Rhinolophus ferrumequinum: one gene and its partners. The main gene of each other region encodes a partner of the protein of the gene in region 3 in a complex. Links are inferred from orthologs where the notes say so. Each region holds a gene or a part of one and is shown on either strand. Other genes may lie near its edges.

The links.
Region 1: the proteins of LRP6 (region 3) and DKK1 are in contact, whole or in part, in a crystal structure (PDB 3S8V), measured with the Homo sapiens proteins. The link is inferred for Rhinolophus ferrumequinum from reciprocal best matches to the Homo sapiens genes LRP6 and DKK1. Residues at the interface, in NP_001401174.1 of Homo sapiens: Arg639, Glu663, Ser665, Ile681, Tyr706, Glu708, Thr724, Arg751, Trp767, Gly768, Gly769, Pro771, Val790, Gly791, Arg792, Asp811, Thr812, Asn813, Leu814, Pro833, His834, Phe836, Trp850, Ser851, Tyr875, Met877, Arg1184; in NP_036374.1 of Homo sapiens: Glu185, His204, Phe205, Trp206, Ile209, Gln218, Val219, Thr221, Arg224, Arg225, Ser228, Gly230, Leu231, Glu232, Ile233, Phe234, Arg236, Ser258, Leu260.
Region 2: the proteins of LRP6 (region 3) and SOST are in contact, whole or in part, in a crystal structure (PDB 6L6R), measured with the Homo sapiens proteins. The link is inferred for Rhinolophus ferrumequinum from reciprocal best matches to the Homo sapiens genes LRP6 and SOST. Residues at the interface, in NP_001401174.1 of Homo sapiens: Arg28, Asp52, Val70, Ser71, Glu73, Leu95, Ser96, Asp98, Glu115, Arg141, Trp157, Trp183, Asn185, Ala201, His226, Phe228, Trp242, Met269, Arg336, His361, Asp379, His404, Asp406, Thr422, Glu447, Arg449, Trp465, Trp491, Asn493, His534; in NP_079513.1 of Homo sapiens: Leu115, Pro116, Asn117, Ala118, Ile119, Gly120, Arg121, Arg169, Thr171, Arg172, His174, Asn175, Gln176, Ser177.

The regions. Positions count from the first base shown.
Region 1 is NC_046299.1:35,191,588-35,199,349, reverse strand, and holds the start of DKK1 (dickkopf-related protein 1), read right to left. Parts: upstream 3,081-7,762; 5' UTR 2,886-3,080; coding exon 2,643-2,885; intron 2,403-2,642; coding exon 2,240-2,402; intron 1,074-2,239; coding exon 930-1,073; intron 801-929; coding exon 547-800; 3' UTR 1-546. UniProt on the Homo sapiens protein: Antagonizes canonical Wnt signaling by inhibiting LRP5/6 interaction with Wnt and by forming a ternary complex with the transmembrane protein KREMEN that promotes internalization of LRP5/6.
Region 2 is NC_046304.1:38,984,267-38,991,809, forward strand, and holds the start of SOST (sclerostin), read right to left. Parts: upstream 3,095-7,543; 5' UTR 3,026-3,094; coding exon 2,806-3,025; intron 64-2,805; coding exon 1-63. UniProt on the Homo sapiens protein: Negative regulator of bone growth that acts through inhibition of Wnt signaling and bone formation.
Region 3 is NC_046293.1:27,146,576-27,154,185, forward strand, and holds the start of LRP6 (low-density lipoprotein receptor-related protein 6), read right to left. Parts: upstream 3,048-7,610; 5' UTR 2,971-3,047; coding exon 2,916-2,970; intron 1-2,915. UniProt on the Homo sapiens protein: Component of the Wnt-Fzd-LRP5-LRP6 complex that triggers beta-catenin signaling through inducing aggregation of receptor-ligand complexes into ribosome-sized signalosomes.

The DNA of each region.
Region 1 (7,762 bases), on a different chromosome or scaffold from region 3:
CTACCACAGCCTAGAAATAAATATAATCCAAGCACTGAGATAGTACATTTCAGAAAATAAGCTAGTATTTTCATGATAAATTTTAGATACCTATTAGTTGTCATTCCAAAAGCTCATTGCATTCTAGATTCTAGAATTAAAAGGGGAGGGTTATACATTTAGGAAGTATAAGCTGAAATGATTTATTACAATTCAATATAGAATATTTATCAGAGTCAAGATAACAATCAATGTGCACAAAAATTTACATAACAAGAGGAACGACAGACAATGCAGCACCTTTAGAAAAAATAATTAAAAATTTTGTTGCATTTACAGATAAGTGCCACACTGAGAATTTACAACACAGTAATTTACTGCAATCAACGACAGGAGAGTTCCATAAAGAAACAAAGCCCTTACACTCCAGATTTTAGAAGGTATTATTGGAATGCTTAACTAGAATCACAGAATTTGTACATCCTTCAGGGTAGAGCTGGCAAAAATCACAAAAGGTTTTCATAGCATATATTATATAAAGGAGTCCACTGTGTTTGGACAGCTGGCTTAGAGTCTCTGACAGGTGTGAAGCCTAGAAGAATTACTAGCTTGATGGTGCTCTTTCTGTATCTGGCAAGACAGACCTTCTTCACAGTAACAACGCTGGAATATCTCCAGCCCATGAGAGCCTTTTCTCCTGTGCTTGGTGCACACTTGACCTTCTTTGAGGACAGGTTTACAGATCTTTGACCAGAAGTGTCTAGCACAACACAGGCCTGTGGCACAATCTGATGATCGGAGACAGACAGAACCTTCTTGTCCTAGGAAAGAAGAGACAATAAGAAAAGTACATTGTCACTGCTAACCCTGCATTATTTCACGAAGGTAATCCAAAAAGCACTTCTGATGTGTTAACAAGGAAGAAAGAGTCTTAAGGTCCCTTAACCTACCTTTGGTATGATACGTTGTTGAAGACAGTGTAGTTCTTCTGGGGTACCCATCCAGGGTGCTGTGATCATTACCAAAGCTTTCAATAATTGTTTCTTCGATTTCCCCTCGATGGAAATGATTGTGATCAGAAGGCATACACAGTCCTAAGGAAGTGGGAGATTGTGATTAACTCCTGAGCTGTACTATGTTACCACTCACAGCTGTGACAGGGACAGCCTGTTATGCCTCCACCAATGTGAGAGACCTGATTGTAGTGACATGATTTTAAACACAAGCCAAACTTCCTAGTGTTAGTGCAAAACCCCCAGGACAGAAGCATCAATGTGTACACTGTGCAGTGATATACAACATCCCTAATATAGCATTTAAAATACTTTCCTACCAAACAGGTAGTGACAGTGCGTCTTCTGCCCATTTTAGTTGCACCCTTGGTTGGGGTAAGAAAAATCAGTCACTTAAAATTTGTTTTTTAAAAATAACTTCTCTGCCCTTCATGCTATATGGGTACTGCCACTAAATTAAGCAAATGCAATACCAGCTGCCTGGAAGATTGCAATCTCACCCACCAGTTACTTTACTGTGTAATTTCTATATTACAGAGATCTAGTTAGTTCATCCTGAAGTATTACTGAGTCCTAAGGAGGATTGCCACCCTTAAGTTTATTTCTGGAGTCTTCCCTGGCTGTCTGAGTCTACCTCTTTGAGACATTAAATTTTAGTGGATCTGTGGTTGGGGAAAGGAGTACTTATTTTAAGGTAGCAGGAGGTGGAGGCAGAGGGGAGGATGAAGAGGCCAGGATGCGAGGGTATCAAGATCTCCCTTAAGAGTGGCCAGCACAGATAAATCATTGTCTTCTGGCTGACAACAGTTTCATCAGGGATCATGAGGGAGAGGCTAGACTGGCAGAGCACAGAGAGGCACTGTAAGAAAAATGGACAGGGTAGCTGAACATCAACGTCCCTTTCCTTGGTATCTGTATAATCCCACTCTTCCTAACCCCTCTTCCTTCTCAGTTGACATTAAGTCTGTTGCAAAACATTTTTTTTTAATGGAGGGGTCCAGTCTGAGATAAGTTGCTGTGTTAAATGACTGAGGGACAGAGGGAGACACAGAGCTCCAAGACCCCTAAACGTTTCTCTCCTCCGAGATAAACACTAACAAAATATCTGAGGGGAACCTTGCATGCTAAATGAATACCCATTTGCACATGTGGCGCCGCAGCTTTCACGGAGCACACAACGTTTTCTCCTATCCGCAAGTGAGCAAAGGCGGGATAGTTTGAGTCCGAAACAGAGCTAAGGAACTCACCGTTTTTGCAGTAATTTCCAGGGCAGCACATAGCATGACGCATGCAGCGTTTTCTGCGCTTCCTGCAGGCGAGACAAATCTGCGATCCGGTGCCTCCTCCCCGGGTAGGACTCGCGCAGTACTCATCCGTGCTGCACTCTTCGTCTTCCACGCACGGATATGGCTGCGGGAAAGGGGCCAGGAGAAGATGAGACACCTAGGCATCCAAGTACCCACACTCCTGGACCTGGACACTAATCTCAGTCCTTTTCTGCCCACCTGTCCAAAAGTTGTTGCCACCTACTGCTCCCAAATACAGGTTCCAAATGCGCCCCGAACCACACACTAGTTCGTTCTATACCCTTCTCCCCAGATGAAATCTCTTCGGGTCACAGCGTTCCCAGATCCCCGAGACCCTTCTCACCTGGTAGTTGTCAACTGTCTGGTACTTGTTCCCTCCAACGTACAGAATTCCCGGAGCCGCGCTGACTGGCGAGCCTGGGTGCCCCGCCGCGCCGCCCAGCGGTGGGGGCAGGTTCTTGATGGCGTTGGAATTGAGAACCAAGTTCAAGGTGGCGCTCACTCCTAGCAGAGAGTGGCCGCAAACAGCCACTGCTACCAGGGCGACCAAGACCCGGGCAGCTCCCACTGCCCCGAGAGCCTTCATCTCAGAAGAACTCCAGAGAGAGAAAGAAAGAGAAAGGAGGAATGTCACTTTGCAAGCCTGATCCCCAACGAAGCCGTGCTGGCGCGGCTGCAGAGTGAGGCTCCCGGAGCCTCCAGCACTCGCACAGTCCTGACTGCAGGACGCATGAAGCTCTGTACCGCCACCGCCACCACGACTGCCTTTATACTGCGGGCTCTGAGCATTCCGGCCCCTCCGGGGGAGACAACAAAGCTGGGATGGGATTTCAAAGCTTTGGGAGGGGCTGGGAGCGGGTGTGTTTGTGTACTTGAATGGGGGCCTTTGACACTCTCCACCCCGCCCTTCCCTTGCGCATTCGTTCCACCGGTCCTGCACACCTTCGGGAGGACTAATCAGTGAGCTTTAGAGCCGACGACTTTAATAAATGCGGAAAGGAGAAGGAACTTTGGAAACACTGGTTCCCTTGCCTTGCAGTAGGGGTTGGGTTATCAGGATCCGAAATACTTTTCAGAACAGAATTGTGATGTTCTCTGCAAGGGCACACTTCTCCTCTCTCCCTAACGCCAGTACTGATGTATTGTGCACAGAAATAATATTCAGCATTAAATACACCCCGATCAGTAATTCAAAGGCTACATCGAAATCTTTCCGGGAAAAGGACCAGGTGGCCAGTGCAAGTTGCTGATTAACCCTTTAGAGTCACGGTTTGCAGACTTGGGGTGAGGTGCTTGGCTTTAGGTTCGCTGAATTCCTCCCCGCTTCCTTCTTCCACCCCCCCTCCCGCCGAGACTGAGAGAAAAATGTGCAAAGAGAAGGAAATTTGCACATCAAACGAGGGTTAGAAGGAAGAAGAGCTAATTCTCTTTTGATGGGAAGTTTAGAGAGGGAGGCGTGAGACTGGCGTTTGGAAATTAGATCATGGGTGGAGAGAAGAGGGAAATGACCATCCGATAATCAAACTATTTAATGTTGTTCTTTGAATCTGAGCAGTCGCAGCAGTAGATGAACTTGATTAGGCAGACAGGCGAGATCAAAGTGGCGGGAGCAAAAGCGGACAGGGTCCAACGGCTGGGTCAGTTGTCCTTCGCTGGTTCCCCCTTCTCAGTGGTGGGTTAATGCAGGGAGATAAGAAACCCTTAAGGCTTAGTTCCTGGCTTCCTCATTAGTATTTCATATCGTAAAGCCTGAGAACGCCTGTGTTTTATCCCAAGTCAGACCTTTGGTGGACCAGGAAAACCCCCTCTCGGAAGTAAAGAGACTAGCTTCAGGAAAAGGGAAGCTGAAAGTAAATCAGAAAGTGAATTTGATGTCATTTAAATCAGTATATAAAAACAATAAAGTAGGGCTAGTGTGTAAGACTGCTCTCCTGCTTATAAATTGGAAATCATTTATTTATTAAACAAAAACAGTGGAAGCTGAGTGCCCTGGCATTAGGCTACCCCCTCCAGGGTTGATGCCCTTGAGGGGAGGGCACAGTGAATACAAATATTTAGACGACTATTCTAATTATGGTCATAATAAAAGGTAAGCAATGTACACGATTCTTTTTAAAACAGTTTGATAGTTAAGTGTCAGAAAATGGAGAACTGCTATGCCAGTTTAGAAAAGGAAGAGAAGATTGAATAATCACTGTCGTATATATTTATTTTCTCCTTCCTAACTTCTATGGGATTTAAAATTACACACTGACCTACGATATCCATGGCTGGGACCATGACCAAGTATAGCCAGTGATGGATAGTCTTGAAGTGGAATAATCCAAAGTTAAGAAAGGGATGGGTACATTTTTTTTTTTTTTAAAGATTGTAGCGGTCTGTGTTCTAGTTCCTTGGGTTTCAGAGGTCATATTAAGAACAGCTTCTAAATAATTATTTAGTAATGCCTCCAATTATACTGGTATCCCTCGCATCCCAAATTCCATCTATCCTGTGAAATGTCCTCTAGCTTATTAATAACTCGAAATTCTAACATAGATTAAATCCCACACATTTCTTTAGGTTTTAGTATGAACATGTACAATAATCTAGACTTGGCTACTGCTCTAGAAATGGTTGAAACAAATTGAAGTTTTGATACAAAGGGGAGGTTGTTTATATTAGCTTTTAAAAAATGAACCTAAGAAACAAGTAAGTCAATACACCTTTTATTGAGACTCGGCAGTGAATCGGCAGGTATCCCTGGGCAGATATGGCTCTCTCCTCAGTTTACTTGAAGTTTATAGAGACGGGAGGTATTATAGTGTAAAGGGGCAAAGGCATAAGGGATTTTTAGGTGCCATATTATCACTTGCAGAATATTAATAACAATGTCAATAATCAATGTGTTGAGCATCTTTGATGTGGTAGAAAATCTAGTCGGTCTTAAATTCTTAAGATGTTGAAATGTGGAGAAAGAATTCCCTGACCTTGGGAAGTGTGAAATGTTCCTTTATATTCTTATTATCCTAAATAATTTTTTTTCTAAAAATATGCTTGTGCCACACTAAAGGCCAATTTCTTTTCCTCTTTTCACAAGCGATGGTACATGCTAATAATACATTTAACAAATTTAGACCATTAAGAACTTGGATTCACAAGTGAAGCTATCTGCTAGTGAAGGAAAAAAAAAAAAGAACAGTGGAACAATTTAATCAGCAAAAGGAAAACTTTACAAAAAGGCATGTTGCATAAACTTATTCTTGATCCTGAATATGTATGTGTCTGTATGGGTTTAATTTTCGTTAAGCTCAGACAGAATCTGTTGTGTTGAGTTAGGGGAGTTTAGCCAAGAGTAGGGTTTCAAGAGCAGACTAAGTCCTACCTCTTTCTTCACTTTCCAAGTTTTCCACACTTTCCAAGTTTCTCCTGAAGCTGTCATAACTTGAAAGCTAAAAATGAATTGGTCAATATCTGAGTTGCTACTCTGTGCTAACCGTGGTCCTTGGTATGTGAGGACTCATTATCTACCTTCAAATAATTGAGTGGGGGGAAGGGAGGTAAACTCACAAATTATATAGGAGAGAAGTTATGCAGGAGGGAGCCAGGCAAATATGTAGCAAGCCAGCTCTGTTCTAAGTGGAACGTTTACTTTTTCAGTGGAATCTCCATTTGAAAATTCTTTCCATGATTGAGTTTGCTCACTGGCAACAAGAGCAGGGTGGGTGAGGTAAAGTGAAGTTCATTGTTCCATCAACAGCCAATTAAACTTCGGTAAGTGCCCATTATATGCAAAATGCTACCCTAGTATACTAGGGGGTATACTTCCTAGTATCTTTGGGAGTATAGCCCCAAAATATTAAAGGCAGTCTCCTTATCCTCAGAAATCTTTCAGTCTATGAGTAAACAAATATACTTACACAGGAATGGGGGGTAAAATATTTTCCAAAACAGATTACATTTTGGCACATATTAGGTCATAGAGAAAATGGGAAAAGGTCCAGGAATTGTAACCAGGAATTGCGACCAACAATCCTCAGGTAAAGAGGATTCTGATGACTCTCTGGGTCTCTCCTACAACTAGGTGAGAGAGTTAGTGGGAGTCAGGGCAGGCATAGTTAATTGATTACACCTAGTTTATTTAGTTCTGTTGGGAACCCCACCTCCTCTTTGATTTAATTTAATTATGACCATAATCCACTAGTGCAAGAAGTTTAATATTTTGTATTAAATTTTAAAATAGGTAAAATATGTTTACTAAAGTGAAATCTAACCTTGTAACTCAGGAATAGCACGGTACTGTGTGCCTTCCTCACATTTTAAGTGCTTAATGCCAGACATAGATTACTCATCAACCTCTTCATCCAGAGGAAGACAAACAGACAAATACACTCCAAAAAAGATCACGCTATTCACAACTATTTTTCCATCGTTGTTGTTTGAGATTCTTATGTGACTGCTGCATTTTTAATTCACTCCCTCTCTTCCTCCTTTCTTTCCTCCCTCCCTTCTTCCTTTCCTCCTCCTTTCATTTTTTATCTTTGTTAAATCAAAGGAAGCAGATCTGTTGCCATTTAATTTTACTTCACTCAGAGAACATTGGATAAATGTCATTCCTTAGGGGTGTTGCCAACATTTTTGTTGGTACCAGTTTATAGTAGAGATTCCTCATTGCTGAGTTTAGTTTTTCTTTTTTTTTCTTTTTTTTTTTTTTTTAAAGAATGTTATGACTTTCTCATTGGCTTTTAAAAGATTTTGGTCTCAATGCTCATCATGATGTTAAAAGAGCTTTTAGACCAGGCCCCTATTATGACTCCTAAGAGGCTGGATTAGGCTTTTCTGCACCCCTAAGGAGACAGAGAAGGCGAGATTTGACAATGATTACGTTTATTTGGTCATTGGAGATGGCCAGCCCAGATAAATCAGGCTCCATGGTAGCTTTCTATCCTAGCTCAGAAGATGTGTTTTAAAGGAGTGGGACATTAAAAAAAAAACAAAAAAAACCCCACTAATCCAAGAATAGAGCCCAGACCCAGAAACTTTTGATTAAAAACCAGAGAGGACTTTTTCTGATTTCCTGATAATCAGAAAGGTCCACAGTGTGTACGAGGTCTGACAATTACGTTTGTGAACTTGCCACCGCGCACTTACATTGGCAGCACAGTACAAACAGCTCAGTAAGGTTTCATAACCTTGGTATATCAGTGTCTCACAGCTGTGTTCGTGTTGATGTGTGATGGTGTCTTGCTGAGTGGTGTTCATTATTGTTGTTGAGCGTTTTCGTGTGCCGTCGCAAGAATGTCTGAGTTTGAATTAGAGAAATGAACAAACATTAAATTTCTTGTTAAACTTGGCAAGAGTGGAAGTGAAATCAGAGACATGTTAGTCCAAGTTTATGGGGATAATGCCATGAATAAAACAGCAGTGTACAAATAGATTAAACCTTTTTCTAAGGGAAGAGAATGTGTCACTGATGAAGAGGTC
Region 2 (7,543 bases), on a different chromosome or scaffold from region 3:
GACATGGCCCGTCCGTCACGTAGCGGGTGAAGTGCAGCTCGCGGCAGCTGTACTCGGACACGTCTGCGGAGAGAGGCGCGCGTGAGGGCGGCGGCTCCCTCCAAGCCTTAGGCCTTACACCCCTCCATCCCCCTCACCCCGCCTTCCCCAAACCTGCCTTTCTCCAGACAGGGTTCTTTTGCCTCTGGGCATCTATTACGGGAAGGGCCCAGCCGGTGGGAAGCTCTCCAGCCCACCCTCTCCTCCTAAAACTTTGAAGCCAAGTTTTGGTGGTTTTTTTTTTTTTTTTTTTTTTTGGTTTTTGGTTTTTGGTTTTTGGTATTTTTGCAACCTATCTGTAAAATGGGTTGTCTTGAGGATTCCGTTCATTTATCCATCACATATGTAATGCAGGGGACACCACCCGCACATAGTAAAAGCTGGAAGTGTTGGCTGTTACTATGTATTATTATTGTTCCTCTTCGCCAGACTTCGGTCACACCTGTGCCACAGGGTCCCTGGCCATGGCAGGGTAGGTACTAGCCACACCGTCTGCATGTCTCTGGCTTCTCCCAAATTCCTTTTCTGGCCACTTGGGAGGGGCGGTTAGGGGATGGAGACAGGGGTAGGGATTAATTGAAGGTGATAAATCAGGGCAGCTGCTGCTAAGGAGAAGGATGGAAGAGAGGTGGAGAGGAGGACAAGTCATTAGACTTGAAAGGAGCCAAAGGCAAACCCCCTCATTATCACTGAGGACAGACAGGGAAAAGCACTTGCCCAAAAGGCAGAGCTGGGTCTCCTGACTCTACTTCCCTGGGGCCCCAGCACCTCTTGGCTCCCACACAGGTGGAAGCTGTGTGCCTAAGCAACCATGGGAGGCTGGGCTGGGGAGTGAGGGGAGGGCGGGGCGGAGGGCTGCTTTTTACTATAGTTACTTCCCTAGCAGAAGGGGACCAAGCTCTGCCGGAAAACCTACAGGCTCAACTGCCACAAACATTTATTAAGCACCTGCTGTGTACCAGGCACCCTGCTGGACACGTCTCTTGCTCTGTGCCATTTGAATAGACACTTGATGGTGGCACAGGCTTGTTTCTTGGGTGGGGTAAGACTGAGCTCTGAGACCTGGCTTAGGCCCCTAAAGTCACCTTGATGGTGTCTTCTACTATGGGTTTAGATGAGCGGGAGCTTTTTAAACAGCTGATCCTCGTGTGGGCATCTGTCCACCCCCAAGAGTCTTATGGGACCCATGTGACACAAAGGGATGAAAAATAATCCTAAGACCAAAACCGGAGAGGGGGCAGAGAGAGCCAGACACTGGAGAGCAAACACAGCAGGGGAGATGTGGAGCTTGCCTTCCTCCTGTGGCTGGCCTTCTGGTTTCTGGGTTGGTTTGGCATCCTCACTCCTGCTCCCAGGCTGCAGGGGTGGTGTGTGGGGGTGGCTTGTTTGCCCAGGGAAGAAGGCTTTTGGGCTTTCCAAGAATAGTGCCCCTAGGTCAGGCACTTCCTCTTCAGAGGGTGACTTTGTTTTGAGCAAGTGGCTTCCTTGGGGCTTGTGGCCTCTCATGGGAGCTCAGGGATGTGGACATCTCATAGGTGGGTCCCCTAGAGCCCATGGATTGAGCTTAGTTGACCTTCTCTGGGGGTGGGGGAAGTAGGGGGAGGGCACGCCCGCCCTCCAGGTAGGAAGACCCAAGGGACCCCCAGGCTCCTCTGGTTTTGCTCTTGGCAGAGCCCCATGTTCCCAGCTAGTTGGGAGGAAGGGACGGATGGAATGTAGGAGCCTGGGCAGTGGGCTCCTCTCCCCTCTGGACAATGGCCAGAGGGCACTGAGGCCCTTAGTCTGAAGTGTCATCCCAGCCTCCACCCCCAGCCATTCCTGCCAGCTGCAGAGCCAGCTGTGCACACTGCCCCACAGGCTTCTCTGTGGGCACCTGATCAGGAACCCAGGTGTACCCTCCACTGGGGCCATTGACTTTTCAGTAGGGTCAGGCTCCCTCCCCAGAAATGAGGCAAGGTCGAATATGAGGTGGGGACCCAGGACAGATGGTGCCACCTGTGTCTACTCCCTGCACAGAGGATGCTGCCTCCCCTCCAAGGTCCAGCTGCCACCCAGAGGCTAAAACTGTGCCTACACTCTCATTCCTTCAAGTGCCAGCTCACCGGGCAGACCATGGGCAGGGGGAATTGATGGAGTGCTTTTCTGCCATCCCTTTCCCACTGCTTTAGAGGGATTTGCTCTGGCTCTTGGTCCCCAACACTCCACCCATAATCCCCTACCTGGGCTGTCTTGGAATTGGATCAAAAGGGGTTCAAATCTCAGTTCTTCTACTCACTACCAGATTACTTCATTTCTGGAACCTCAGTTTCTTCACCTTCAAATTGGGAGTTCACCTTAGGGGGCTTCCACGTGGTGGGTCCCTGGGGGACAGCCCATGTACAGCTCACAGAGAGCATCTGGCCTCCAGCAGGTGCTCATAGATACGAGGCTCCCTTGCCTTGTTCCCTCCTCAGTGGTGCCGACAGCTGGACCAGGCTCCTGTAGTCTCAGGAAGGGATCCCTTGAAAGCTTTCCCAGCCTCGGAGCCTGTCCCAATGCTGTACCCTCACCACCTCAGCCTCCATCCTGCCCCCTGCCAGTCTCAAGTCACTGCACTCAGATTCCCAGGCTCTGCTGGCAGGTCATCCTTCTCCTGCTTCCAGACAAGACTGTCCCTCCACCGTTGCTGGCAGTGGCTAACAGTCTACCCTAGTCTTCAACACGTCCCAAAGAGAACCCTCCCATGAGAGGACCCCTATGCTTAAAGTGCTCTCCTCCACCCCATACCTTTGTTCTCAAAGGGGTGGTGGGGAGGCCTTCCGCCGTTCTCCGCCCGGTTCATGGTCTTGTTGTTCTCCAATTCTGGCGGGGCCTCAGGGTACTCGCCCAGCTCAGGGATGATTTCTGTGGCATCATTCTTGAAGGCCTGCCATCCCTGGGCCTCCACCGCACGGAAGGCTGCGTGCACCAACAGGCAGACGAGACACAGGGCAAGAGAGGGCTGCATGGTGCCAGCCGGAGGAGGGCACTTGGCCTTCCAGTAGCACAAGCTCCAGTCCCCAGCCCAGACACGTTTGCCTTTTTAAAGCCCCCTCTGCCTAGTGCCAGCCAATGACAGGCTGGGGCAGTGCTGGTCCCATGCTTTCCTCAGCCCAGGGGGAGGGAAAGGGGTGTGCTCAGAACAAACCCGCTACAAAGACTTCTCCTCAAGGGCAGCAAACTCCCAAATTGCTGCTGGTGCTCCCAGGTGACCCAGAGAGAGGGGTGTGTGTGTGAGGCAAGCCTGCTCTCCAGCGCCTCCCACAAGCAGACGGCTGTGGTTTTCAGATATCAAAATGAATCCCGGCTCTTAATCTCTACCTTCCTGGGGCCCTCAGGCTTTCTCAAAACAAACTTTGGACAAGCTTAACAAAGAAAACTGCAGCTCTGAATCCTCCATAGGGCTGAGCCCTACTGATCCCATTTCTAAGGCCAAGTTCATTTGTCACATGAAAAAATGGCCCTAGGGGGTGTCAATTTGGCCCCCCACAGACCCAAATAGAGGCAGAAGCATGCTTTTAAAGAAATCTCATTGGTCCCAAGTCCATGAGGCTCAGCATTGATTGTTCTGATCAAAAAAGCCCTGCTTGGCATCCTCTGGAAGGCAAGAGGGAAAACTGAGGGCCACAGCAAGGGTGCCCACTTGGGCAAGGAGATGGGGATTCCCATTATAAGTAGCCAGGATGAGCAAGTCAACGGGAACTGGTGCTGGAGCTCAAGGAGGAAACTGCATTTCAAGCTCCTCAGGGATCCCGCACACGGTGACAGGCACTTTTTGGCCAGGACACTCACTGTGGCTCGCAGGCGCATGTGCTAAAGACAGTTATTTCTTTGGCCGGGCTGCGGGTAGGAGTAGAGAGCACAAAATCCATTTTCTTAGCAAAAGCCAAGGCCAACATTTTTAGTGCTGACGTGTTTTTTTTCTGTCTCCCAGCCCATTTCATTTTTCAAAACCAGCGTTGAGTCCTATATGGAAAATCTGATTGATGCATACCACGGGGAGGATTCCACGAAGCCACCCCAGGTCCAGCCAGCCACAAAGAAACCAAAAGGAATTGCTACTTCAGCCCTGGAGCAGAATGAGGGGCCTGGGAGGGGCAGAGGTGCAGGGGCAGGAAGGTTCACACCTGAGGTGCAGGAAAAGAAAGGAGGGCCAGCGGAAGCTTTCATTGCAGACAGATTGAGGAGGTGCAGCCACTCCGGCCCTGAAGGAGCTGGGAAGAGGGCTGTGGCCCAGGTCCCCTTGGTATTTTCACTGGGCAATGAATCAGCATGCCCCACCTGCAGAGCCTCTGCCAGGCCTCTGCCACCTGCCTGGACTTGTAAGTCACTGTGTCCATCTGTGGCCATCTGTCCCTCCTTCTTTCCATCATCCATCACTCGACACATGAATGCAGCTGCTCTGACAGTTTTACAAGCCAGACAGAAGCCCCTGCAGGAAGGGCCCTCTCTGATACCTGCTTCCTAAGTCAGTTTCCTTCAGGGCAGACGAAAACAGCTGTGGCCATTGTTGGGGGTGATCTATCTCTCCCAACAGAGGCTGTGTGTTGTGAGAAGCTGGCCCTCCAGAACCCCCTCTGCCTGTCTGTGACCCACCAGTCTCCTTTTCCCTTGTTCTGGAATGTGGACTGTTAACCCTATTGAGGCCAGACAACTGCCTCCTTGCCCTGGGCTTCGGAGAAGACAGTTCTGCTGCCTGGATTCCTTGAGCTGGCGGGATTGATGCTCGAGCCCCTCCTGCTGTTGAGAGCTGCTGGCCCATCCAAAGGAAACAGAGACCGTGGGGACCATCCTTGGAACACTTCTGCCACCTGCTGGAAACAGAAGGAGGAGCCAGGGACTAGGAGTGGAGAGACTCAGGATTTTGTTTATTTCATGTCATTATCTTATTTGAAACTGAAGTAATGTTAAAATGAGAGAAAAAGAAGAATCCAGTGGACTTGAATCTCTAAATTATCTACATCTTTTTGAATTATTCTCTGCCAACGTATAGCCATACTTTCCACAGAATGGCTCAGAGAGAACCTGCTATGATGCCATCTGCTTTTTCACATAACACTAATTCAACTTTAGCTTTACTCAGTCCACAAGTTTATCGCTGTTCAGAGCTCAGCAATACTCCCGCACTTAAACTCCCGGGGTTTTAGCTGACTTCTGTTGTGGGTAGTTTATTTTCAGTGTTCCCCTATCCTCAGTAGGGATGCTATGAACATCCTGTACAAAGTAATTTTTTGTATTAAACTTTTTATTTTGAGATAATTGCAAATTTACATGCACTTGTAAGGAATGATACAGAGACAATTCCATGTACCGTTTCCCAGTTTCTCAATGGTAACATCTTGCAAAACTATAGTGAAACATCCTAATCAGGATATTGGCATTGATACACTCCACCAATCAATCGTATTCAGATTTCCCCCATTTTACTTGTACGTGAGTATGTTTAGTTATATGAAACTTTATCACATGTGCAGGGTCAAGTAGCCACCATCACAGCCAAGATAAAGAACAACTCTGTGGCCACAAAGATTCTCTTGTTGCCTTTTTATAACTAGAATCACCCTCCGCCCATGCCAACCCTTTTCACCGCTAACCCACGGTACCACTGATCTGTTCTCCATTTCTACAGTTTTGTCATTTCAGAAATGTTATATAAAGGAATCAACTAGTATGTAACCTTTTAGGATTAACTTTTGTCACTCAGCATGATTCCCTGGAAATTCATCCAAGTTGTTGCATGTACTATCCACAATGTATTCTTTTTTATTGCCCAGTAGTATTCCACAAAGTAATTTTTTTTTCAAATGTTAAAGTATTTTCCAGAAGTGAATGCTAGTCCAAAAGGGTAAACAGTTTGCTACATGTTGCAGGGTTGTTCTCCAGAAATCCCAGCCAGGTCCCCAATCTGACCAGTGACATATAAGTGGGCATTAGTTTGCTGGGGCTGCTGGAACAAAGTATCACACACTGGGGGCTTAAACAACAGAAATGTATTGTCTCACAGTTCTGGAAGCTGGGACTCTGAGGTCAGAGTGTTGGCATGGTTGGTTGCTTCTGAGAGCGGTGAGGAAGTCTGTTCCATGCCTCTCCCCTAGCTTCTGGTGGTTTGCTGGCCATGTTTGGCATTCCTTGGCCTGTCAAGAAGCATCACCCTGATCCATGCCTTCATCTTGACACAGTGTTCCCTCGGTGTGCATGTCCATGTCCTAATTCCCCCTTTTTATAAGGACATCAGTCATACTGGGGCTGACTCTAATGATCTTACCGTAATTACCCTGTTTCCCCAAAAATAAGACCTAGCCGGACAATCAGCTCTAATGGGTCTTTTGTAGCAAAAATTAATATAAGACCCAGGTCATAATATAATATAATATAATATAATATAATATAATATAATATAATATAATATAATATAATATAATATAATATAATATAATATAATATAATATAATATAATATAATATAATATAATATATACGGGGTCTTACATTAATGTTTGCTCCAAAAGATGCATTAGAGCTGATTGTCCAGCTAGGTCTTCTTTTCGGGGAAACATGGTCCCTCTATAATAACCTTACTTCAAATAAGGCCCCATTCTGAGGTACTAGGTGTTAGGATTTGACATATGAATTTTGGAGGGACACAAATCAAACCATAACCGCATGTTTCTCCACCAGGCTGCCAACACGGGTTTTGAGCTAAGATTTTTTAAATTGAATTTAATATTGTAATACCATACCTAAATTCCTAGTAAGGCTGTTTTTTCTATATGATGATTTACTGGGTATTGCTTCTACCACACTGCTTGTTCATACGTCCACTTGCTAAACATTTAATGAAACAAGACCTCCTGCCGGGTGCTATGAACTGACACGCTCCCCCTCCAGGAGCTCCTGTAACAGGGAAGAAATAAATTCTTCAACCAAATAACTCCATAGAAAGTGATTAGTGCCACTGAAAAAAGGTTCAGAGGCTTTTTTTTTTTTTTTAAGGGACAAAGTGTTACGGGCCTTCAGAGGAGAGAACACTCCCTTCCCCCTAAGGTGGATCTGGGATCCTCATAGAAAGACGTAGCATTTCCATCAGACTTTCAAGGACACGCCAAATTTGGAAAGTAAGTTACACTCCTTTGAATGCACAGGATCATAGAATCCTTGATGTGAGAGGAACCTCAAAGGCCATCTAAGTTTCACTCTCTACTTAGTATTCAAGCCACCTGTCTCTAATTCATGGAAACTGAGGGCTGCATTTTTGAACAGATTTTGGTCCCACAGGTCAGTGGCGAAAATGGAATATATGGATTTGGAGGGAAATCTGTTTATAGGCAGTTGCCTGCATTGAGGGCTGTCCAAATCGCCCCGTCTTTATTCACAGTTGAGAACTGTTCTCTGGGGAGTCTTGGCACAGATGGAAATCCTACTTGTACATTCAGCAGCTTCTTAGGGATGGGAGAGAGGAGCTGCAAAGCACTTTGTAACACAGGCTC
Region 3 (7,610 bases):
ATAGTATTGACAGATTATACACACTAATGGTACTCTAAAGCATATATTCTAATAAAATATGTCCTCTAGAAAATCGGAGATACAATCTTTTCTAATCAGTACCTGGACGGAACTAAGAGAATGGTAAAAATAACAACCTAGATTGTGAGGTCCGTTAGAGCAGCGACCATGAGCCTGAAATATAGTAGGTATTCCAACATATTTGCTAAAAGCATGAACAATAAATCCCTGCTTTACCATTAGATACTGATCAAGTTATAATCTCTCTGAATCTGAGTTTCCCCACTTGCAAATGAAGCGGTCAGACCAAAATGACCAAGATCTCACCTACCTTTAAGAATTCATGAATCTTACACAAATTATTAATAAATCTCAAATCTCCAGCATTTGAGGCCATGTCCACAAATAACCAAAAACTATAACAAAAATTAATATTTGTAGGTCACTTCATAGTCATTACTTCATTTAATATGCCCAGTAAACCTGAAAATTAGAGTGGTATTATTACCCACATTTTACAGGTAAAGAAACTGAGGCCCGGAGAAATTGCCTGGACCAGAAACATAGTTATTAAGTAGTGAAGCATGGACTTGAAACCCAAGATTTTAGGGTTAAAATCTCCCATTCTTTCCATTCCACCCTGTCCTCTGATAATAGGGACGGAGATGCAGCCTAGCTGATGACGGCATTATTCCCCAACTTTCAGCTCTTAACAGGGCTACAGGGCAAAAGGTTTCCCAAACTCTCTCATCATCCCATCTTCCCAGTTAAAGCTCCAACTCTTCAGTAAAGAAAAATGACCTTAATACAACAAATTAATCACATTTTTTTCCTTAGAGCCCAAGGTGAACTCGTATCACTATTATAACAGAGGATGACATTATCAAAGAATAAAAAGAAGTTAATTATGAATACAATGTTTCACAATCAAAAGACAGTTTTAGTTCAAATGATATGTACTCACAGTTATGTACTGTTACATTCAAAGACCACCTTATGTCATTATTATGTTACATTTAAAATGAAACCTTCACTTTTGGAAACTTTGTTTGCTAGCAGGTATGAGGCCATTTAAACTACTAATGCTTAGGTCTTGTTACAATACTACCATACTTCAAAACACTACTTCAAGTTCAACTTCTCTTAATTCCAGTAATGAACAAACCCAACTCTAGGCTCAAACTTGGTGTTAAAATAAACAAGTGTCATTTACATCACACCCTTCCCCTGCAAGAAATACAACTGGGCAACCAGGAGCATCCCGGGTTATGGATTTAGATTTCCCCAAGACTTTAACCAATCAGCTGACTCCCACATTTGTTAACTCTTATTTTCTGTCTTCAAATATATACATCTTCTATGTCAAATATAATTGTTTCTCACAGCTATGGCAAAACCCCCTTTCAACAGGGAGTATACTACAATAAACATATACTTATTAAACCTCTCAAGTGCGTAAACACCACATTAAATCCTCTGCCAAGAAAATTAAATGAGCATTATCTTTCTGGGGGTTACATGTGGAAACAGTTTGGAATACGCTTAGTGAGTCCTAATTAAGTAGAAGTAGATAAAACATACAAACATCATAATCCTGCAGAAGAGGAAAGAAAAACAATTCTTCCTCAAAAAAGAAAAAGGTCACTTATGCTCACCCAAACTAAACCTACACGTACAGAAATGGCACACCTGGCTGATTCATATCGCAAGATCGTTAGTTACTATCATGTTCTGTAAACTTCAGTACGTTCTGGAGGCTTAACAAAAGTTTAGCCTATTAAATCAATAGCTAAAAAGCTCCATAGATTCAAGAGGTCCCATACCTGAAAAGAACTGACCGGGAACGGCAAGTGAGACTTTTAACAAAACCAAAGCTACAAGCCTCTGCATCAATCAGGATTTAAATTCCTCTCCTGGTAAAGGCTCAATAGCATCAGACTGATCACCACTTCACCACTGGTAAGTTTGAGAAGAGCTGTTGATATCTTGCCGGCCAGTCTAAACCTTAGTGAACTGTCACAAAATCAAAGTCACAGCATATGTGACAGCTTCGCATGCCAATTCAAAAAACCACAGGACCATCGAATGTATGCGATTCTCAGAGCAAATTACATAGAATAGCCTATGTTATTTACCAAAGTGCCAAGCAGTCCCCAGGGGAGCGCAGCAAATGATAACTTAGGTCCCAGGACAGGCTCCTTTTCACACAAGGATGACTTTCCCAGTTAGTGCCAACTGTACACTCGCATGCTCCGAAAATAGGGGCAAGTCCTGAGCACCAGGGGTGGCAAGGGCAACGCTTCCATTTTATTATGGGCTGAAGCTCCGAAGATTCCCAACGCTGAATCGCTCGACCTATAACCTCGGAGTCACTCTCCAACTGTGCTCTCACCCAGAATCATTATATCCCGAACGGAAGCCAATTATTAGTTGTAACAAGACCTGGAAAAATAGTACGAGGACCCTAAAAGTGCACATGAGAGACACAGAAGAGGTGGGGGCTTCGAGGAAGAAGACCAACGTTAAAGCATCTTGGGCTCCAACATTCTAAACGCCAAAATACATACAAAGACCCTGCTCCCGGATGACTGCAGGCAGAAAGAGACACACAGACCCTCAGTCATTCCGACAGCATGGGACTCCAGGGGTTCACCTAGACCAGCAGCCCGGGCTGAGGCTCTGATTCGTCCCGAGAAGGTCTTACACCGAGGCAGGGGTCTGCATTGTGGCCAGACAGAGCGCACAGCCCCTTTTCCCGGGCCCCTTTCCCTCTCCTTCCCCACCACCAGGCCTCTCCCCGCTCCTCTTCTCCTTTTCCTCCCTCCCTCCCCTCCCCCCAGACACACACAAAACAAGGCCACCTCCCCCCCCAAATCCCACCAACTTTCCCGTGTCCACCCCCCCGCCCTTCCCACCTCTCAGGAGCACACAGAAACTGCAGGCCAGGAGGCTCCTCAGGACGGCCCCCATCTTCCCTTCTTGCGTTCTCTTCTCTCACCGGCGAGGGGCGACCAGAAGAGGGGGAGGCGAGGAGCCGGGGCGGCCGCCGCAGCGGCAGGTCTGCACGCTCATGCTTCCCAGCTTGCCAGAGAGAGAAGAAAGGGGCACGTCAGGGCTCCGCGCGCGCCGCCGCCGCCCTCTCTACCGCGCCGCTCTGGCCAGGGTTCGCGCGACGCCAGCGTCTGCTTCCATCCCGACGCCTCCTCCCCCGGCGCCCCGCTTCCCCCGCGCAGTTCCTCATTCAGCCTCTTCCTCTCACGCAGCGGCGCAAGGATACGAGCCGCCCGTCGCCGGGATGCGCGGCCAAGGTGTCCCTGCGCGCGGCCAAGGTGTCCCTGCGCGCGGCCGAGCCCCCTCCCTGGGCACCCCCTCTCTGGCAGGTATGAAAGAAAGTGGGGGTGCACGCCCTGCCTCTGCTTGGAGACTCCCGGAGATCTGCGGGGCGAGCAGAGGGGACTTGGAGGGGATAGACCGCGCCGCGGCGCATTCCAATGGGATTCTTTGCCCGGCCGGCCGCTGAGCCCTCCCCGTGGAGGGCGTGAAGCGACGTCGAATAACATTGGAGCCGGCGTGGTCGGGACTACTTTCTGCTGCTCCGCCGGGCAGCCGCCTGCTCCGCTCTTTGTGCGGCGGCCGCCGGCGGAGCCAGGTGGACCTGCGGGTCCCCGCCGGCAGCACCTGGGCCGGGGTTCCGGGGGGCGGCAGGCCGGGGGCGCCTGAGCCGCAGATCCACGCTCGGGGAGCCACGTGGATCCCGACACGGGATGAGCAGCTCCATCTTCAGGGTTGGAAATTGGTTTAGGCAATTTTTTAAGGAAAAGAAAAACCCGTGCCCCTGAACCCCAGCTTCAAACGTGGATCTGGTGAAGGATGCTCAAACCCCAACTCAAACTCAGGTTTTTTATTTCTCTCCTGGCTTCCCCGAACTACAGACTCCCCCCCAGAATTAAGTCCTACACGAACTAAAGATTTCTGAAGTGGCAGATAAAATTTCAAGATAAATGCGTCAGCACCTAAGACAGAGCAGAGGGACAATTGGAGAGGACTGAGGATTTTACAAGTTGCCTTTTAATAATGAATGTTCGGCATGTTTTGATGATCAGTTCTCGGCTTGAGGAGGAAAGGATTCCCCAGAATCTGACTCATTTTGCACAGCCTCTGCTACTCCCGCTGCACTGGGCATTGAAGCGGAGCGACCCAGACGCTCTCGGATATTAAGTGGCTGAAAGGACACTCCCAGAGTTAACCATAATGGAGCTATCTGGTCCGTTCTGTCCAGCTGTTACACACCTTTACCTGGGGGCACATGGGAAACAAGTGGAGCTACTCCAGAAATGTTACTAGTACCGAGTGACATTGGAGTTCACCGAGTGCTTGCACACACATCAAATTTGACACTCAAAACTACCCTGGGGTAAGACAGGTTTTGTTACTTACCCTCGATTGCACAGAGGAGGAAAAGAAGAATCTGAGAAGTTCAGTGACTTACCCAAGACTCAAATACTGAATGGCAGGACCCAAACTTAAGCCAGGACTTCTTACTTCACTCTCCTCCTTCTAAGAAATGCAGGCTGAACCAGGGCAATGCGTGTCTGTCAGCAGATACAAAGGCAGAAACAGCCAAATCATTTTCTCATAAATTCATCTGAGAAAGTCTACCCACTATTGATTTCAATTACCTTCTACCAAGTACCATGTAAGTGCTGTGCAAGTTTTGTATTCTGACCTCAAAACGCATAACTGAGAACCCCGTTTTTCAGCAATAGCCTAGGGAATTATTGTGAAGCTACTGAGTCTGTGGAGAAACAATGTTAGTGATAAAAGCATGAAGTTTGGAATGAGACTCGGGTGAGGACCCAAACCCTACTAGTTACTAGATGTGTGACTTGAGGCACGATATTTAAATGCACTGCACCTCAGTTTTCTCCTCTGTAAAGTGGATATAATGCCTCCTTCAGGCTTGTCAGAAGGATTAAATTAAATAATATATATAAACTGCTCAATATATAACAGGTGTTCAAGAAATGACCATTTCTTTTCTTTCTCAACTCCTTCAAGGTGAATGGTGTCATAGTAACTTGAAATATTGGGAAATAATGGGAGACAAAAATTACATGCTCAAAATGTTTATTGCAGAATTATTTATAATTGGAGGTAGATAACCATGAAGCTAGTGAAACTTGAACTTCATGACCGCTCACTTTCCCAAGCCCCTTCCAGAGCCCAGGGAGGGGCCCTAACAGTGTGGTCACATGGGCCTATTTGCAAAAGTCAGATGATTTTGCATCCTTTTTCTTTAAACACCCCTCAAAATTGTATCAATTTCAAGTCCCACAAAACTAGGATTTGTTCCTATTTATAACAGAAAACTGAGGACAACCTAAGTCTCTTTAGGCTTTCAATCTAAGTAGGAAATGAGATATTATTATACAATGCTGAAAAAAATAATAATTTGGAAGACTGTGCAACAGTGTTGGAAAATGTTTGTAGTTAGCTAAACTTAAAAGCATGTAAAAGTACATGTACGTTTTAATTACAGCTGTATGAAATATAAATATATACATAAACACGTGTTTTATATATATATATGCATATATATATATATATATCTCACGTGTCTGAGCAAAGAAAGTAAATGCACTAAGATAGACATTAGGATGGTGAAATAATATGAGATTTACTTTTCTGTTCTTAAATTTCCTTTATTATATTTTTTTTCCAAATTCTTTTAAGTTACCTAAGTGAAAATCTCTAGCTTAACCTTAAACCCTAGCCTGGACAGTATTCTCACTATTTAACTAATTCGTTTTCACATTCATTCAAGTGTCTGTTAAATATTCAATGTCAGTCATTGTATTAAGTGCTGGTTGTGCAAAGATAAGATTAATCATAGTCCCTACCCTCAAGGAGCTTACAACCTAGTTTGGAAATACTAATTAATAACACAAATAATTAAAATGTTTAAATTGCTATGCTGCAGAACTGTACCATATTAACAAGGAACTCAAGTACCGAAGCGCTTACTTCTGCCTAAAGAATTTAAAGAAGAGAAAATAACCCTAGAGCTGCGCCTTGAAATACAAGTCGGAGGTTGTCAGGCCAACAAGACTGACAAGGAATTCTAAGCAGAAGGATAGCAGGTGCAAAGACACTGAATTACTAGACAGCTCTTGGCATGTTAGGGATTTGAAAGTAGACACATATAGCTGAAGTATAGGTTGCTTTTAGAGAATGTCAGGAAATGAGTCAAGACCGTTAAGTAGGTATTGGATAATAAAGAGCTTTATTAAGTCATGCTAAGAAGTTTAGATTTTAGCCTCTTGACAATTACAGACAGTAAAGTATTTTTCTCATTGATTTGCAAGTTAAATAAATTGGCAGCAGTGTGGATAATAGGAGGGAGAGATAAGTCTATGAAAAGGATGGTCAGGCCAGCAGCACTGGGAACTGAAAAGAGATAATGGATTTCAGGAATATGAAATCAAAACAGCAGGATTTGGTAACCTATCAGATGTGAATTGAGAGAGAGAGATCTATGATGAATTTCTAAGTTTCTAAGATAGGCACCCCAGTGAATGGGAGTCTCATTTACGAAGAAAAGAAATGCATAAAGAGTTATTTCAAGAGGGGGTGACGATAAGCTAAACAATGGGTCTTTTCTATCGGCCGTGTCTGTAAAACCTCCAGCTGGAGATACTCAGTAGACAGGTTTGATACAGAACTTTGGACCCGGGAGAGGAATGGAAAACACAGCTATCCATAATGATTATGGAGGTCATATGACACACAATCCAGGGGATATATTGTAGACTATTGAATAGTGACTGAATAGTTATTACCACAGTTTTCTGGACAATGACAGTAAGGTGTCTTCAGAAAGGGAAACCCTATTCTAATTCAGGTGAAGTCACCTCTGGGCCACCTCATTGATGGACTAAGGCAAGACGGAGATTATGGTTGAAACCATAAACTTAAGGAAAGAATAGAGCATTTAGTGTGACCAGAAAAGTGAGCCAAGACAGAACCGTGTGGTATTCAAGTATCTAGGAGCAACAAAAGAAGAGAAGCTAGGGAAAGAGACCAAAAAGGTGCAGGTGGAAAACTGGCTGAAAGTGCTGCCATGAGGAGTTGTGGTCAGTAATGTGTAGTGTGGAGAAGTCAGCTCAGAGAAGCACTGAAAAGAAGCCACTGTGAGTTATGACTTCCCAAAAGGTCATTGATGGGACCATACATTATACCAACATTTTTAGAAAGCAATCTACGTTCAATGAATAAAATACGCACACCTTTTAAAAAAGAATCCCACATCTTGGACTTTATCTTCAAAAACAAAAGTTTATAGAGATATTTGTACACGGATATTTATCATAGTATTGTTTGTAGTAGAAAATAATCACACACACACACACACAAAAAAAATGCCTACAAATATGGCAGTTTTATATGGTTCAACCTAATCAAAAGAACCTGAATGCACTTCAATAGGGAATAGTGAAATAAACAATGGTATATCTGTACTATGGAATCTATACAACTGCAAAAAAGAATTATATAGATTTATACGTAGTGATTTAGAAATGTAGACTTGATGTATTTTAATGGAAGAGCAA